Arabidopsis thaliana: one gene and its partners. The protein of the gene in region 3 interacts with the protein of the main gene of each other region in a pairwise test. Each region holds a gene or a part of one and is shown on either strand. Other genes may lie near its edges. The genes, in order: UBC29, AT5G48385, LUL3 and UBC18.

What was found.
Region 1: the proteins of LUL3 (region 3) and UBC29 interact in a two-hybrid assay, tested with the Arabidopsis thaliana proteins (one large-scale study listed by BioGRID).
Region 2: the proteins of LUL3 (region 3) and AT5G48385 interact in a two-hybrid assay, tested with the Arabidopsis thaliana proteins (one large-scale study listed by BioGRID).
Region 4: the proteins of LUL3 (region 3) and UBC18 interact in a two-hybrid assay, tested with the Arabidopsis thaliana proteins (one large-scale study listed by BioGRID).

The regions. Positions count from the first base shown.
Region 1 is NC_003071.7:7,265,971-7,269,575, reverse strand, and holds UBC29 (ubiquitin-conjugating enzyme 29), read right to left. Parts: upstream 1,855-3,605; 5' UTR 1,697-1,854; coding exon 1,627-1,696; intron 1,526-1,626; coding exon 1,398-1,525; intron 1,213-1,397; coding exon 1,108-1,212; intron 983-1,107; coding exon 839-982; 3' UTR 521-838; downstream 1-520. Other genes in the region: AT2G16730 (glycosyl hydrolase family 35 protein), read left to right, coding at 3,471-3,605. UniProt on the Arabidopsis thaliana protein: Accepts the ubiquitin from the E1 complex and catalyzes its covalent attachment to other proteins.
Region 2 is NC_003076.8:19,606,880-19,612,555, reverse strand, and holds AT5G48385 (FRIGIDA-like protein), read right to left. Parts: upstream 4,067-5,676; 5' UTR 3,820-4,066; intron 3,270-3,819; 5' UTR 3,196-3,269; intron 3,097-3,195; 5' UTR 3,086-3,096; coding exon 2,023-3,085; intron 1,800-2,022; coding exon 1,627-1,799; intron 1,285-1,626; coding exon 844-1,284; 3' UTR 549-843; downstream 1-548. Other genes in the region: AtSPO22 (Tetratricopeptide repeat (TPR)-like superfamily protein), read right to left, coding at 1-478.
Region 3 is NC_003076.8:6,376,287-6,381,116, reverse strand, and holds LUL3 (RING/U-box superfamily protein), read right to left. Parts: upstream 2,969-4,830; 5' UTR 2,718-2,968; coding exon 2,200-2,717; intron 1,698-2,199; coding exon 1,199-1,697; intron 950-1,198; coding exon 830-949; 3' UTR 512-829; downstream 1-511. Other genes in the region: AT5G19070 (SNARE associated Golgi protein family), read right to left, coding at 3,647-3,849, 3,941-3,971, 4,052-4,144, 4,238-4,354, 4,434-4,520, 4,646-4,744. UniProt on the Arabidopsis thaliana protein: Acts as an E3 ubiquitin-protein ligase, or as part of E3 complex, which accepts ubiquitin from specific E2 ubiquitin-conjugating enzymes and then transfers it to substrates (in vitro).
Region 4 is NC_003076.8:17,243,445-17,247,992, forward strand, and holds UBC18 (ubiquitin-conjugating enzyme 18), read right to left. Parts: upstream 2,545-4,548; 5' UTR 2,461-2,544; coding exon 2,431-2,460; intron 2,347-2,430; coding exon 2,243-2,346; intron 2,156-2,242; coding exon 2,053-2,155; intron 1,833-2,052; coding exon 1,769-1,832; intron 1,052-1,768; coding exon 963-1,051; intron 858-962; coding exon 762-857; 3' UTR 543-761; downstream 1-542. Other genes in the region: TRX3 (thioredoxin 3), read left to right, coding at 1-29, 128-274; AT5G43000 (uncharacterized protein), read right to left, coding at 2,910-3,758. UniProt on the Arabidopsis thaliana protein: Accepts the ubiquitin from the E1 complex and catalyzes its covalent attachment to other proteins.

The DNA of each region.
Region 1 (3,605 bases), on a different chromosome or scaffold from region 3:
CAAAATTTAATTTTATCCATTCTATTTTGCAATAATTTAACTATATATTTCATGAAAATATACTGAATTTTAATTCTATATATTTCATTTTAATGGATAAGAGCTGAAAAAATATTTCTACATATTTCATCTTCGTGTTTTAATTCTTTATGATATTTAAATTTTAAATAGTAACCCACACACGTTTTCAATATTTAGTGTTCTAACTCTTATTTCAATCTATCTATTCTCCAAAAATATCGTTAGATAACGTAAGTTATTTTTGTTGTTTACTAAATAACTAGGCTTAAACTTTAAATATTAGTAACTTGTCCTAAATTTTTTACACAAACATGACTATAATTAATTCTCATTTATCTTTGATACTATTGAGTTTTCCCATTATAACCTTTATCTATGCATCTCACTATTTTATGTGTTGTTTGAAATCTATATTTTAGAGTTATTTTAACAAAATAAAAAGAAAAATAACAAAAATTTCGACAAAATACACAAAAAAACATATTTGAACGGTCCTTTAAAAAAAACAAATTCGCTAATAATATGAATTATTTTATTATATAAAATATAATTAAATTTTTTGATTATATAAATAATTTTTGTGATTTATGTATATATTTTATTTTCCCGATAGGGTTAGAAGATTTTTTATATATTAACAAAATTAGATTTAATACATGTCGATATCTCATCAATCATATGAGTTAACAACTTTGAAAACTCTACTTTATATATTATATATGTTTGTATTAAAATTATAACAATTTCTTCTTCTTCTTTTTTTATTACAAATAAGACCAAACCAAAATAAAAAGGAAAAAAAGAGGAATTGTGAGCTTTAAAACAAGGCATACTTCTGGGTCCAGCTTCGAGCCATGGCTTCATATTTGGTCTTGTCAGTTTTGTATATGTGAGCTATCTCTGGCACCAGAGGGTCGTCAGGGTTTGGATCTGTTAGAAGAGAGCATATAGAGAGAAGCACCTATAATACCAAAATGTTAGTAATTTGTGTTACCTATTGGAGCTTCTTGGTTATATACCAAATCTGATATATGGAATTATAGAAAATATTGACAAATAACTAAATACATATATAGAATTTCAAACCTTAGAAATGGTAAGGGCAGGGCTCCATTGGTCTTTGAGAATGTCCAAACATATGTTTCCATTACTGTTGATGTTTGGGTGAAACACTTTGGTTCTGAATACAACCTGATTTTATCAAACAAACATAACAACAAGAGTAAAGAAGAAGAAAAAGATTGAAAATAAAGATCAAAACTTAAGGTTCCAAAAGATCATAAACGATCCAATATTTAATGTTGGTTTTGTGCCTTTTGGTTATTGGATTTAAGAAGTAGATTAAAAAACAAAAAAATTGTTGAGAAAGTTGTTACCTTGGGAGGTTTAAAAGGATAATCAGGAGGGAAATGAATATTGACAAGGAAAACACCTCCGGAGTAAGGACTTTCATTCGGACCCATTATAGTAGCTTGCCAGTGGAACATATCTTCTCCTGTTGGACCTAAAAATCCCAAACCAAGGAGAAAGGAAATATCAAAATCTTTAGAAAAAATTTCTGATACATGGCTTATATTGTATTAAGAACAAATTGTGATCCTTTACCTGCACTGCATGATACAGGAGGGTCTCTTTGCAACTCCTTCAATTCTTTCAATATCCGTCTCGTTGCCATCAGGTTGCTGAGTGTTTGATATAATGGAAAGTAGCACTACAAAGAAGTATGTGAAAAAAAATATGAGTGGTTTGTGAAGAGAAGGAGAATGAGAGTTGTGTTTTTAAAGCGTGAACCGTAAGCAAAGATTTGTGATTCTCTTGCAAACAGGAATGCTTGCACTATTGCATTTATCATTGTTTAAGTAAAGATTTACCATTGTAAAGTCTCTTTTTAGCCGCCCGCTTTGCCCATAAAGGTAATGGAGAAAGATCCATTCTTTTGTTCTGATTCTGAAAGAGAGACGTGCCTTGAAGTGGATGGTCTTACGTACATGCTTACTGTAATATACCATATCTATTGAACGGTCTATAATGGGATTTGATAAAGTCTGAGAATCAGAATAACTTAACATAAAGAATGGTTATTACAATATCCTTTGTTCTTAATCTTATTGTCCACGTTCACTGGACCAGCAAAGTGATGGGTGATGAGCATCATGTTCAACAAATATAATCATAAATCATAACATACATTTGATGAGGTAAAATAGTTATTGAAAACTTATAGGACCCATTTCAAAAGTTTCTTAAGATTATAGGCCCATGTATCATTAGGAAAAAAAATTATAGGCCCTATTTACATACTTTAAAATTTTACAATAAAAAATTTACAAATCAGAGTGGCGTCGAGTGAGGAACACTCCACAAATCAGTGATGCATATATTATTTCCTTATTTTAAAGATTTATATCACAACATATCGTAGAGATCGTCATTGATCAACCTATATATGTAAATGTAAATCATTGCCTTTCAATCTAAGTATAACCTTCAAGCCTCTGTTTATTTCAGACTTATTAGGTCTTTTGAATATTGCTATAAGAAGAAACTCCACAGCTGTTAGTCCAAAGTTAATGTACATGCATGCTACGTGATTTGCCCAACCGATATTTTATGATGGTGATTACGGGAGGAAAATAATTCTCAACAATAGTTGGTCTCGATTTTTTAAAAGACGATTAATTGATTACTTAAAAAAATAGCCATTTTTTTTGTAACAAATGTTGTTTGCTTTGCTTTCAATCTTCAACCACACGGTCAACACATTTATGTATTTTACGTAAAAGAAGCATACCAAAGCTTTTACAATTTTTGCCGTTATGATATTTAAAGTTAGAAATAAGCTAAAGGTTTAAACGATGATAATCCAAATTACAGCAAAAAAATTTACTCAACTTGTAGACAAAGAATAATAACTAGATAACAGGTTACACAAATTTTTGTTAGATCTCTCATGGATTTAATCCACATTTCCACAATTAAAGAAGAACCAAAAGTGGTGTTTATAATGAACATAATAAAATAAAATAAAATCATTGGTTTCGTATGAACCATTTTTTTTTGGTGTAATACGCACCTTCTCAACATAAGCATTGGCTCACATTTCTTTTTGGTGGTGATTGAGAGAAGTCATTGTGTGTATACCCGCCAAATTAGGCTCTTCAACCAAAAACCTTAAAATTAGAAAATTCAACGAAAACAAAATGAAAGGAGGAAATAAGGAAATAAAAGGGAGAGTTATTGGAAGTTTTATTTACAAACAAAATGTGGAATCTCAAATTGAGAATACGTGAATTTCTCTGAAACCTTATGTTCTCTGCGAAACATTCTCTTATTTCATTTTCTTTCTCTAAAGTTTTTATTTCTCTGACAAGGAAGATATCCCTTTAGGTGGATTCTTGTTTAAATTTAAAAATCCTCAAGAAGAAGAAGAAGAAGAAGAAGATAGTCAAATGAAAATACATTCTTCTGATCATTCATGGCTTTTACTAGCCGTTCTCGTGATTCTCCTCTCCTTCTCTGGAGCTCTCTCAAGCGATGACAAAGAGAAGAAGACGAAATCGGTCGATAAAAAGAAAGAAGTAACT
Region 2 (5,676 bases), about 13 Mb from region 3:
CTCTCTCGAAGCAATCGGAGGCGAGATCGAATTTCTTGAGACTGTGATAAACAAGACCGGTCTTATAGTAGAATAGAGAGGACTTAATCGTCGGAGATGGAACACCGGTAACGTCCTTAGCGAGAAAAAGCATATCGGCGGCAACATGTCTGAGATTCGCAATGTTCTCGGCGGAGGTTAAAGAGGATTGGAGAGAGGCGGCGTTAGCGAGATCAACACAAGCATTCCAGAGGCGAAAGCTGAGTTTCCATATGGTAAGCTTGAAGGAGTTATCGGGAAAAGGAGCAAGTTGACTCAGCCGAGTTAGGAATTGTCTAAGAGAAATAGGGAGAGATTGAGGTAGCGGCTGATCTTTGGAAATGGCTTCAGATTGTTGGATTAAGAGCTCGATCTCGGAGAGAAGAGGATGGTGAGTGTGTGAATCGGTTTCCCGGTGATGTAACCGGAGGTCCGGCGTGGTGATCTCGGCGATTCTCATTTCGATTGTTGGCGGGAGATTTCAGAGAGAGAATTGGGAATTTCGAAGGACCGAGTCTGAGAGAATAAGATATTTTCGAAATTCAAATTAGGGTTAGTATTGTAATTTACACCTCCTGTGTAGGTTAAGGAAAAATAATAAAATACAACATTAAAGATATAATAATTAATAAGAAAATCTGAGTATTTTTTTGTTTTTTGTTTTGAGTAGGGTTGATCCTTAAAAATACTAAAACCATCCGTACACAACAACAACATCAAAGGGAAAGAGAACTAAGGAGAGGAGTTAAAAAAGAGCTGCCACAAGTTAACACCAAAGGGGAGTCACAGTCACAGTCACATTTTACCATTCACCTTTTTTTATCACTAGTGAAAGTAAGGAGGAGGAGGAGGAGCCTGGTACTGATAGCAGTTCGCGTAGAAGTTCCCATGTGCAGGAGCAGGATTGAACGTGTAAGTCTGAGGAGGAGGAGGTGGTGGAGGTTGTGCTGCCATGATTGGACCGCTAAGGAACGGTCTGTTGTCATAGACATACTGCGGATACCTTTCAGGGATGACTCTACCGTATCCTGTCTTGTTGTTGTTGATGTTGTTGTTGTTGTCAGTGACTCGGGGTTGAGCACCACGTGGTCGTTTTGGCTGAGGTTTCATGGGTTCTGTTGCTCTCTTTTTGTCCGCTTTGGCTTTCTCGAGCTGGAGAATCCGTTTGTGAAGTGGCTCAACTGGGTACTGCTCTTCCAGGCTATGCTCTTCGATACACTTTATAACGGTTTTGAGGCCTATAAGCTCCCGCTCATTGAACTCATCCTGCATTGGTACACACATAATAATGTACAACAATATGAGACTGATCCTGCATCAGCAAGTACTATGATATACGCCTAAAGTAATTGATAATGAAAGCATCGGTTTTCAGTTTCAAATGGTGTTAGAAGTCTGGAGTAAAATATGACAGCTAACTGAACAGAGCTCAGGAATGTTCCAGCGAGGTAAGATTTACTTTTTCAAATAGCCAGATGCTCGAGAAAAGGTAACGAGTTCAATAAAAGATAAGATCACTCGTTCTAGGCAAAATGCATTAATATAGCCCTTCATTTTCACCAACAAGGTAATCTATAACTGCAAGTTATCAAGTCAGGGAACACTTGCCTGAACAGCAGGAGATGCATTGCCAGGTCTGCCTTGGGGGGAAGATCGCCTTGCCTCTATCAAGTAAGATTTCAGTAATGAGACAGGTGAGAACTGTTCTGTGAGTTCAAACGCAAATGCCAAGTTAACCGCATCAATCTGTTTTCCACTGTTCACGAGAACTTCAATCACACCTGGAATAAAAGGAGCAGTGCACATTAAAGATAAGATCAAGGGATAAGGTAGAGAATCTGGGTGTAAACTAAACAAGGAAAAACACAGATATCCACCATGTTTAGGCCCTTGACCAGAGACCCTATCACTCACTAAATAGTTACTATCAAACATCAACTTTCCTATCGAAATGTCATAACCTGTAAGATAATCAGCCATATACTAAAAGTTAAGAGAACAAACCAGGCATTTTTTCAGCTAATCCAAGTGAACGGCAGAGCTCAGCTGCCTGACGGCGACGTGAAACCATGGGGATCAGCTTTAAGAGTTCATCTTCTTTAAAATCAGCAACAATAGCAAAAGTGGCCAGCAGTTGCAGGAATGCATGAGCCTCCAAAGAATTACCATTGCAAGCATCCATGTCAAGAGATTCCAGCAGTGGATTCCATCCTTCTGCAATAGTTTTGGCTCTATGCTTAACATTTTGTGAGAGAACAACAGCAAGGCAGTTGCGGTCCAGACCAGATAACAGTATGCTAAGGCACTCCATCAACATGATACAGGTTCTGCGCATGCCCAAGAGGTTAGCGTCTTTTTTTCCATCAGCAGTTGGTGCCTCCATAGGGTAAAACCCTTCCAAAGAGTCCAACACTAAGCTGGCTGGGTTTGCTGCAGCCCTGAACGCCATAGGAATCTCCTCCTTTAGTGATGCAAGGTTCTTGCGGTTATCTGATACAAACTTATGGAGACCCGTTGAGTCCATATCCCCGCACAGTTTCAGTAACTGTGGATAAGCCTTCACCTCATAATTTCCCATCACAGGTGAGATCTGAACATCTTGCACAATACCATCCGGATTATCATCGGTAATACTATCAGCAGCAAAGACATTGGATGAATCCTCTACAGCATTTTGTGGCCAACGTTCACCAACAGAAGGTTTACTGACAGGAGCGTTGTTATACTTATCCAAAGCACTGTTTATAGTAAACATAGCTGCGTCTCTCTTCTTCTGAAGCCTTTCAAGCGCCGCCTTCTCCTTAGCCTCAACAGCTGCCTTCTTTTTCTCCAACAGTTCTTGAGCTTTCCTTGTTTTGGTTTCATACTCTTTTTCTTGATCTTCAAGCTCATGAAACCTTCTCTTCAAAGACCTCTCAAGCCCATGAAAATGCTCCTCAAGTTCCTTCCACTTCAGATTAAGTGTTACAGCACGCTGACTTTCAAGTTCAGCAAACGCCTTCTGAAGCTGCTGAATCTTGGATGATGTAGAGTCCATGAGTGAAGCAACTGACCGAGTATCCTCCATCACAAAAGAGCCTAAATAAAACGGAAATTTAAGTAATGATTAAAAAGTCCCGAACAAATAAAAACAAACATGAGTACAACGACATTAGAGGCCAGACACAATATTGTTACCAATTCAAACAAGTCCAATCTCCAAGCTGCGAATAGAGAGCTCCACGAAATCTCGATCCTTGAACAACAAACAACTACAAAAAAAAAAATCATCAAGAACAGATAAACAAAGATCAGTCAAAACTATCCAATGACAATATCACTCGTTAAAGATAAAAACAAATTAGCTCTGTAACAAGACCGTACAAGTCATAGTGGACAACTATGTAAGAAAATGGCCTACAAGGCAAGTAAAGACAAATGAACAAGAAACCCCCAAAAAAATGAATCCATTCAAGAAAAATTCACACTATTTTTTAGTCACAAAGATAATTCAACCTCAAGAACTAATCAGACGTACTTATAAAAAAATTAGCTGAAATAATACAAATACAGATTAAGAGAAGAGTAGATGACGAAATGAGAGTAGAAACAAGCAAGCTGATTCAGTGATTCTATGAAATCCCAGCTTAATCCATCACATAAACAAACTTCACGACCAAAATTCAAGGTCATAGCAGAAATTTTGAGCTATATTGTGGAGAAATCAACAAACCCTAGCTACAGTGAAGAGAACACGAACATGAACTCAAAACAAAAAAAAAGTATATACCTCAAGAGAAGATAAAAAAAAAGCAACTTTACCAGGAAAATCAAACGAAGTAAAAACCCGTAAGAAGAAGAGATCAAAAAACTTCAAGAAGGACCACATGATCGTAGATCCATGGTGAAGAGCGATCGAGAGAAATCGAGGTTAGGCAGAGAGAGAGAGAGAGAGAAGAGGAAAGTGAAATCCCTAAAAAGGAAAGAGGAAAGTAGAAGAGAGGCAAAATAAAAGGAAGCAAAGCGATTTATAACAGACACTTTATTAAGCACACCCAATTTTACTTAGTTGGCACGTGAGAGAGACTGGTGTGGTTTAATGGCTCGTTCTTCACTATCATATCTGGTTCGGACCAGACAGCTTATGTGGCTCTAGTCAAACCCTTTAAAGTTTGCGTCACGTGAGTTTGTCTGAAACTGCCGGGAACTTGTAATTTACTCTTTCCTCCTTTTTTTCTATTAATTGGTATATTCACCATCTATGTGTATCAATCACTCTTTAAATTCCTTAACTTTTTTTACCAAACACCCAATCTTTTTAACCTGTTGACGAAGCTTTGGCTTCATGCTTAAGGCTATGTTATAATGGGGAAAAAACTAGATTGCACAATCTTTCATAGACTGATATTCTTCATCGGATGTTTCGATCATATAAATTGTCTCCAAGGATGAAACTATGTGTCTAATTTTTTTGAATGCAAAATTTATATATGATTGTTTTCTTAATAAGAGCAACAATGAAAATATAGTTTGGTTATACATTGGTATTTGTCAAAGAGGAAAGACTAAACCAAGAGTAAATAAATCTTACAACTTCCCAAATTGTTGGAATTCTACAATTGTATTATATATGGTGAATGATTTGGTACAAAACATTACAAATATCAAATGAATTTCGAAGTTGGTTCAGGTCACGAATGGCGGATTTGGCTTGGGAGAGACTAGAGGTTGTGATTCGTGGTTTATCTCCTCTCTAAAATCGTTATGTTACAAACTGACTATCAAGGATAATCATATCAATCAAGATAATGAAGAGAATCAATATCGTCAATCACGTTAATTGCTCATAATCATTGTATACAATATTAAGTTTCCTTCAGTAGCTTTCTAGTCTTTGTATATAAACACTCTGTAATCATCTTGTTTCATATATTCGATATACTCTTAGTCTACATGGTATTAGAGTCTCTGTATATAAACACTCTGTAAAATTTCTAAAATCGTTATGTTACAAACTGACAATACATAAACAACACGAATTAACATTTTGGGGTGTTTGCTGAACCGTGGTTGGCGGGTACATCTGCTAAATGAACAAGCTTTTTATATATATATATATATATATAACTGTCAACCCATAATTTAAAGATTCCAACAACAACAAAATAAGTACTACTCCTAATAAGTATTTAAATATGTGACATGATATTCAATTTTTGTGATACAAATTATTATGCATTGGTATTTGTCAAAAACTAATACCAAGAAAACATTTCTTGTAAATGTCATATTCCATTCTTTGATTTGGTCAAAACACCAAAACCATTTACAAAATATCCAGAATTATCTAAAAACGAATGAAAAGCGAAAAATACCAAATGGAAGAAAAATTTGTCCATCTCCTAACAAACAAGATAATATATATGATGATGTTGAAAAGTCAAAAAGAGAAGAAAGAAAAAAAAAACATTTAACGCGCAAAGACCGATTTGGTTTTTGTTGGGAGTCATTGCGTTCTCATCATCAGTGTCTCTCTTTTCTTTGCCCCATTCTTCACGAACTTTCACTAGACGACGACGACGATCCAAAGTCCCAGTCAACTCACTCACAAAGACGACTCCTTTATTAAATTATTCCCAACTCCTTTCTTCATCATCATCATCATCATCATTCATAACC
Region 3 (4,830 bases):
TAATGTGTATGGAGAAATAATATTGCTTGTAAAGAGAGTCACTTCACTACTATCAAACAAAGACTTTTTTTTATTCCTCATTTCAAAAGTTTGAGCATTCTGTCAAAAAGAATGAACTCAAGCTTCACTTTTTTTTTAAAACTTTTTTCTTTCTCAGGCTTAACTTCAATAGGAAACATTCTCCATCTCCTACCAGCTTTTCCTTTTATTTGAGCCTTTTTTACAGACAAAAAGCAAAAAGGAGAGAAGAAAAAAAGATTACTTCTTTGAATGTTCTCATCAACTTCAGTTCCCATCTCTCTTTATTTTCTTTTGAATCTTTGTAATTATCAAGGTCCCCATTTTCTCATCTACACAAACTTTTACTTTCTCAAAAAGAAAGAGTTAAAAGAAAGCCAAATTAGGGACACATAGAGCTATCCAAGACTCTTGCAGATTTTTCCTGTCTATTTTTGATATAGAATTGTGGTTACTAGGAGGTTCGGTTTCTAGATTATAAACCCGAAACGTTACGATAAACAACATATGATTGCAAGTTATATTTGAGCAATGCCCAAACCAAAAAGTATTCAGTTACAGAATGAGTGTTTCAAGTAGAAAGATACAAAGAGAAAGTTTCTCAAGAACCATTGGAGCTATATATACATTACTGACTTTTTTTTCTTTGAGTTTCCCAAAACTAAGACCAACAAATATGTGCAAGAGTATGACATGAGAAAACACATTTGTATAAGAAAAAAGGGCAAAAGAATTCGATTTGACGGTTTTCAAAAAGAAGAAGAAGAAAGAATCAAACATGGTGTTTAAGTGAAGGGAAGAAACCTCTTTTTCAGTGTTGTTCATCACTACTTTCCACTTTAATCTTTACAAGCTCATGGATAGGTTGTCTACAAATGGGACATTTGTTTGTCTGAAACCTCAGTTCTTCTGCGCAATCACTGCACAAACACTGCAACAGACAACACAACATGATTTAGTCTTGATGACAATTCAACCAAAAAGTTATGGTCTTGTGAAAGACTTGATGTAGATTTGCTTTAGAGACAATCAACAGCAATATGAAGCAAGTCTAAAATGACAGAATTTGCTTGTTCCATAACTGAAACGCTACCAACGATTTATAGGTTTACCGAGTAAATGAAAAAAATTGCGTTTAGAAGAATTGAAGAAAGCAAAGAGAATTGCTAGAAGTTTGTACCAAATGTCTACAAGGCATGACGGCTGTGTCCTTAGGTTCAGTCAAGCAAATGACACATTCTTTGCCACCAGTATCCTCTAACCCCGATGCAGCAGTACCTTGTGTGATTGAATTATCGATTCCATACAACTCTTGTAGTTCATATCGTTCTCCTTCAATCCATAGAATCTGTTTCATGACTTTCACTTTGAAAGATCCATCATTAGTCTTCTCCAAAACCGCTTGAGTGATCTGCTTATGAACTAATGGTTCCTCTGAAACCGAGCTTGGTGATATTACTGTCTCGGCTGATATTACAAGTGGGTACACCTCTTCTGGTGATGGTTTCGATAGATCATCCAGTGAAAAGAAGCCTAGGTCGATTCCTGTCCCTGGAGCTTGTAGAAACTTCTGCCCGGCACCTTTTTGGAAAGGGACTTTGATTGGTGGGAAAGCTTCTGGTAAATGAGGGACGATTGTGCACTTTGATTCCTCTTCTCCAAAAAATATGATAGTGAAACTGAAAATGAGACAAGTAACATAATGAGACTCCTCGTCAGATAATCTTAATACCTAAACTTGGTATGCAACACAGGAGAGTAATAAGGTTGATTCAGTTGCTAACTAGCTTAGTAGTTCCGAACCATTAAATGAACTACAATAACTCCTAAAATCAATCAGTTATGTAACTGAAGCCTGTATTGTTTGGTTTCTGAACCAATCACATATTCATCACCTAGATCATGTCAAATTTTAACCTTTTTCATCCCAAATTGTGGCAACACATAATTCAGAACTGAAACATGAGTAAAGATGTTTCCTTTTAATCAATCTCGTCCCAGCAAAAACCCTAACTTTCACTGAATAAATGAGTCATATCATGTAAAGTTTGAACCTTTACGATCCAAATTTGAGATTCAGTATAATCTACAAGACCCCTCTACGCTAATTAGCCAATCTCATTCAAATTCTGGTTCTAAAGTCGGAAACTTGACTCAAATTTTGGAGTGAAGAAGTTATACCTGCCATCGAATAAGGCATCGAAGACGAAGGAAACAAGATAATGACCAGGGTTAAGATCGTCAGCTACGAGCCTCACCGTAGCTTTATTCACATTGACATCGTTCTTAACCTTCTTAGCGGTCTGATGCTCCACATAAGGTGCAGGCGGTTCCATAACCGCAACCGGAGTCGGACCGAAATAAACCGGCCTCATCATCGGATTAAACCCATTGTGATGATAACCGGTGAAATACGGAGGAGCTTGTTGCGGGTAGTATTGGTTTTGATGGTAGTTTTGACCGTACGGTCGGTAACTAATCTGCGACGGAGGAGGCTGAGAAGAAGACGGTGGCTGAGCCGGTGGTGGAGGAAGAGAGAGCTGTGGAGTTGAAACGGGGTAATTGTGAGAGTAGCTATACCCGTTTTGAGGCGGCGGTTGTTGTGGTGGAGGATCGGAGTAATAGTACGGCGGATTGTGGTGGGGATGGTGGTGGTTGTTGTTGTTGTCTCGTCGACGCTTGCTTAAGGAGATCCCCATAGCCTCTGAAGAAACGAGACAAGAGAGACAGAGAGACGAAAGTCAGATCAAAAGATTTGTCTTCCGGTGAAGATTATTATTTACATTATTTTTACTTTACGCAGTTACTGCCAGATTTACTGCAATTTTTGTAATAAAAGTCAACGCGTGTAACTTTTTTTTTAATCGGATGTTCCCGAAGACATGACCGTCTAACGAAAGAGACAAGACCGTTTCTTCTTGTTCAAATCTAGAAAACACACATACATGACGTTTTTCGAATAGCATTATTGATAGAGAAAAACTATGAAAAATCAACTAATACCTTATGAATTTCAAACGTGGTGTTTTATAGTTGACCACATATATCAACAAGTTCTTAACTTTGAATATTATGTTAGTAAATTATATTCAGATCATTTATAAAAGTTTACAAGTTTTCATCTTAATTTTGGTTTTCTTCCAATTATGTTATTAAGATGAGATTTTAAATAGTCCAAAATAGTTGAGCCAATATCATAAAAGCTAATTTTGGTTATGAATATACCCATATATTCAATTGATGGGTTCAATTTATGCATAACAGATTCTGTGTATAATAAATATACCTTTAGTCGTATTCAACAATCTTCATTGAATATTGGTTTAGGAGATTTTTAAGATACCTGTAACATTTTTAGGTCATAGATATGTTTAGAATGCTTGTGAATGTCAACAAAATATCTGATTAGCTGGAGCAATTAGAAACTCAAACCAAAATCCATTTAGTTTCTTTTTATTCATCCAATATTTTAAATCTCTGTGAACTAATAATTACATCTCAAAGTTACTAAGAAAAATAACTTTTTAAAAATAATTTTTAATCTATGTTATTATTATACAAACCAAGAAAACTAAGCTTTGTATGTTAAAATAAAGATTATACAAAGTAAGTATTCATCATCTTAATTTTAATGACTATGGTTTACTTGGTCTTGAGGTTGTTGTGCATCTATCTTTATCAAGAGAGGCTCATTTAAATCCGTCGAAGCATCATCAGTAACGGTCAGCTCCGGCAAGGCTGCAACCGCTTCGTTCATGTCTCCTCCGTGCTCTGCTAAAGCTTTTCTTAGAGCGTCCTTCGCCACCTTTGTAACACACACCATTAATATCACTGCAAAGAAACAGATAGAAGAAGGAACTTGTAACATTAGTGATTCTGCCGCAATCGAAGGAACTAGTAACATTAGTTATGCCGAACTAACCGGATATTACAAGGCTCGAAATCAAGAACGCCTGCAGATTGCGGAAAACAGGTCAGAATAGAGATTGAAACAAGAAGCTGAGAATGTAATTAAAATTTGTGTAGATCTTACCCAGCGACCTGGCGAGAACTCGCTCCACTTGTGAGTTACATCAGAAAGGTCTTTTAGAGTTGTTCCAACATACACTAACGCAAGTGTTATTGGCTGCAAATTAACAATGTATCAAGCTGTATTATTTCCATCTTACAATTTAAACATTTTGCAGTCGTTATGAAGTGGTGGATTAGAATAGATTACCATCATCCCTAACCACGAAGAAAGCAAGTATGGACCTAGCCGAATTGGCGTGACAGATAAGAGGTAGTTCAACATGCTGAACGGAAGAAGAGGAGCAAGCCGGAGCAACAAGCATATCTATATTCAGTTTTGCATATTCATAAGTTTCAAAAGAAGAGTGTCAGCACAAAACTTGTAATGGGTTCTCAGTGCAAACCTTGAAGCCGGATTTCTCTATCGCGAGTGCCACTGATTGAAACTGAGGATAATCCTTTAATTTTGCAACTACAAAAGGTTTTCCAATCTGCATAAGAGCATTTTCATGTAAGTACCAAAATATCAAAAAAGGATAGCGTCAGTGGTTTATGCATGTCACTTCATTAATCTAATGGTTGTGTCTGCAAATCAATAAGAATTTGAGTGGCTTACCGTACGGCCTAGTAGAAATGCAGCTCCTGAGCCAAGTGTAGCACCGACTGAGTCCGCCACAAAACCAATTGGCAGCCCAAAAAGGTAGCCACCACCGAGCTGAATATATCACAGCTTCAACCAAATAAGATTTCTCAATTTTATAGATAAACCAGTCACTCTAACAAAGAAAGTTGAGAGTGGAT
Region 4 (4,548 bases), about 11 Mb from region 3:
TCTTCAAGGTCGATGTTGACGAATTGAACGTGAGTTTCCTTCATCAATCTTACACTATCCCAATATCCAAACTTAGGGATTTTTGACTTCTCTGAGCCTTTATCTTGCTTGTTATGTTGTTGTGCAGACTGTTGCTGAGGAGTTTAAAGTTCAGGCAATGCCAACGTTTATCTTCATGAAAGAAGGAGAGATCAAGGAGACTGTGGTTGGTGCTGCTAAAGAAGAAATCATTGCCAATCTCGAGAAGCACAAGACAGTTGTTGCTGCTGCTTGATTTGCTTTTCTCTCTTACCTATTTTGCTAAAATATGTTTGGTGTTTTAATAAATCCTTTGTTCGCCCGAGTCTTTTCACCTTAAATGTGCTCTTATGTGTGGTGGTGAATAAATGTTGTTGCAAACTTGATTACTCGCAGCTATGCTAATTGTTCGTTCATGGTTATGTTTACTCTTTGGGGATTCTATTGTTATGTTAGTTTTTCAATTTTCAATTACATTACACCAACTAGTTATCAATCCAATTACATTGCCAAATACAATTTCGTTTTGCCTAAACTCTCCATGGTTTTTCACTTCAGAAAGGACAAAAGCACAAGGTGTTAATTCAGACACTGAAACATTTCAGATGTCATTTATACATAATGATCCGTTACAGAAAAAAAAGTGGGAGGCCATGAGGAATTTCAATTAGTATTATCAGTCTTGGGAAATTATATAAACCTCTTTTGTAACTGAAAGGAGAGACATCTTACGGTCGTCATCATTAAACCTTGTCGTCATGGAACCACCACCTTGTCTCTTTAGGAGACCTCCCGTTCTTGCAGTTCTTCACATATCGATCGTTATCAGTCGGGCGTTGCTGATATTGTCATCGACAATAAGACATAGTAAGAGTTGTGTGGCAGGGTCAAAAAGTTTGAATTTGTGACAACAATACAAAGTGTGAGAGATCAAATGTAGAAACCTTTTCGGGGGAACTTGATAGCATTGAGAGGATGCTGATGCAGACTGAACTCACTGTCATTGCTGGAGACCATGAGTCATACAGAATATCTACAAAAAGGAATTAGAGAGTGTGTTATATTAAGCGCATAATCCTAATGGACTTTCTCCTAAAATGAGGCCGGGTATAATCGTGATTATGTATTGTAACAAATGGTTCAGTTCCACCACGATTTCATTAGACCGGATTTAGATGCATTGAGAACAGATTTAAGAAATTTACATAAAACTTTCATGTTCTTATTGTTTAGTGAAAACAGCAAAACTAAAATGTGTTATTTGATTTTAACTCAAATGGGAGTTTCAAGTTATTTGATCAACATTCCAAAGGGAGTTTCAATATAACTAGAAATTGAGAGGCTGTTATAATCATGGATCAGATTCTGATTTTGCTAAAGAATTCACCATAGAGTCCAAAAGGGACGGTATTGGTTTTCTTTATGGCGTTGATAACACATTCACACCTAATTTCATGTCATGCGACGCTAGTATTAGGAACTCTTTAAGAATGAGACAGACTGAGAAAAAGGTTAAGACTGGTAACAATGTTGATATAATATATTAGGACTCTTAAGGGTATTGTTACTAACATTGCTTCTCTTTTCGCTACATTACATTCCGTGAACAAGAACAACCTATATATGTAAGTATCAAACAGATAAACTAATTTGATTGACACACACATGACTTGAGCTAGCATTTCAGAGAAACCAAAAAGTAAGAGCAAATGCAAAGAGTAAGTAGTGTAGAAACAATGAGTAAAATTACCTAAACAAATATGTCCATTGCTGTAAATATGAGGATGTAACGGTGCTGGTGGAACAAAAATCACCTGATCAAAAACCAAACACATGAAAATCAGAACACAGCACAAAACCAAGTAGAGAAAATGTCACTATATCTCAAACTAATTCTCTGACCTAAAACATGCAATACAACCATAAAAACACTCTGGTTTCAGTTAATTAATCCACAATTAAGAAATTTGAAATAAACCCTTAATCAAAAACAACAAATTTTTCAGAACAAAACCAACACAATGAAAAACTTGCCTGAGGAGCTTCCATAGGATAATGTTGAGGAAACTCAACCTGAAGATTATAAGTTTCATTAGCGTAAAGCGTACCAGGTGCTCCTGTTACCTCAATTACCCATCTTTAAATCACACAAAAACAAAAAAAACAATCAAAAATCGAAATGATAAATAATCAAAAAAAGGAAAGATTTTGAAATGAAAATTACTTTTGAAGATTATCAGTAACTCTGTGCTTAAACCCAGTCGGTGGATTTACTTGCCACTCTGATAACTCCTTTTGTAACCTATTACACGCGATCTTGCTTAACGCCTACACAAATCTCAAAAATTCAAAAAATCACAATCGGAGAATCAAAAAACACATAAGAAGACAAGAGTGAGAGAATCTAAGAACCTTGCGTGAAGGAGATGAAGAGCTTGTCATGGCGGAGACAAAGAGAGAGAGAGAGAGAGACGAAGACAGAGAGGTCTTGCTTAAGCTTTTGTCTGGATCTTTCTTCTTCTACTCGAATATTATTATTATTGAAAATGAAATCAAAAAGTGTAAACAAAAGGAAATAAAAATATTTTTCGGGGTGAGGAAAGGGCACACGTGAAAGAGTCAAAATTACAAAATTAACCATTTTCATCGGACGGCTATTAATCTTCCTTCGTGTTCACACGTGTCGTTTATCCTTCACTGACTCCACGGGACATTGAAGAGTCGATTTTATTTATAGATTTTTTTTTGTAACAAAGATTCTCTTACATTGTAGCTACCAAAGTCGTACGATCATAAGTACATAAGTTTTTAAGACAAAGTACATTACATTAAACATACGTCTCCATCTATATAATGTTTCAGCTTTCATTCTATAGTAGGCTTCTAATAGTTTATGGGTCATCATTTGGCCCAACATGAATAGCCACTTCTTGCTCTAGCTCAATACCATCTAGTGGGTCTTGAAGAGGCTCAACGTGAACTACCGTTTCTTGTTGTAGGTCAATACCATCTAATGGACATTGATGAGGTGCAATAATACAATCTTGTGACTCTTGATCTAGCACAATATCATCTTGAAGGTTTTGGTCTTTTCCATCTGATGGGTCATTAAGAGCCCCGATACAGTTTTGTGACTCTTGGTCCGGTCCAAGAACCCGATTGGTTTCTTGTGGGACGAGTTCTTGCTCTAGCTCAATACCATCTAGTGGCTCTTGAAGAGGCTCAACATGAACAACCATTCCTTGTTCAAGCTCAATACCATTTAATGGACCATTAAGAGGCTCAATAGAATTTCCAGACTCTTGATCCGGTCCAAGAACTCGATAGGCTTCTTGTGGGACGAGTTCGAGTCCGGCTGCGAAAAGCGGGAGCAAGACTAGATAATGTTTATGAGAAACGTAAGAGATCGTGGAACCGATGACGTGGACAATGCATAACATCAAAAGATATGCGTTTAATGTGTGCCAATAGAGGCTCCCATCGTTTGTGTAAAGCCAAAACACTCGGCCGCATCTTTGTATTTTCACTTCTTCCTCGATCAAACTTTGGATAAGATCGAGCAAAGTGAAGATTAATGTGTCGCAAGCACATACGATACCGAATATTTTGGCTAGATCTTTCTCCTTGTCGAGTAATTCTAAGACGAAGCAAAGAAACTCAACGAGGAATGCAATAGCAGAATGTGGTCGTAGACTTTGCCTAAAAACAACGAGTTTAATGACGGGAGTTAGGATCGCCATTTTCAAAATTATTACTATGTGATTAGAAAGCTCAAAATATACTATGGTATGAGGAGCTTTGAGTGAAGAACTTCGTACGGGGTGCTTTTTATAAAGACATGAAGTGGTTATTAATGAATGATTAGGGAGACAAAAGTCAAAAGTTAAGCTTGGAAAATTCCGTGCTAATCATAAAGATCTTCACTTTTCATTGCATAGGGAATCAAATAAACGTTTTAATATTTTTATGTTTGAGATCATTGCAAGTAAACTCTAGAGTAATAGATCAACTCTCTAATCATTTTAAGTGTATGATACAACGAATCCTAGCTGTTTGATGATTTACGACGTTCATGATTTCGGCATGTTAATTTTCTTTTTGAAAAAGTTGTCCTAGCTAATTTAATCCTAATCTTATTTTTATTTTTTTACGGTAATTCTATTCTTATTGCGCTAGAAAAAAATCGAAAATATCATTACTTAATTAATTTTATGTTTTTATAATAAAGGTACATCATGAGTGAGACAATTTTTTTTCCTAAAGTTAGTATATATAAAAGTTTGCAAATTGTTTTTATTTATAAAATATTTATATTTTATAGTTTACAATTGTTATTAAGTAAGATACCGTCAAACACGTCCCACTCAAAAATTATTTTATTAATGTTGATCTTATTTATGATATGATTTTGAATCATCCCCTAAACATGTTAGCTTTTTTTTTTCTTTTTCTTGTCATCAGATTTAAACATTTTAGCTTAAATCCATATATTTTTCGTTTATCAATTAATATATGTCCGTTTTCAAAATT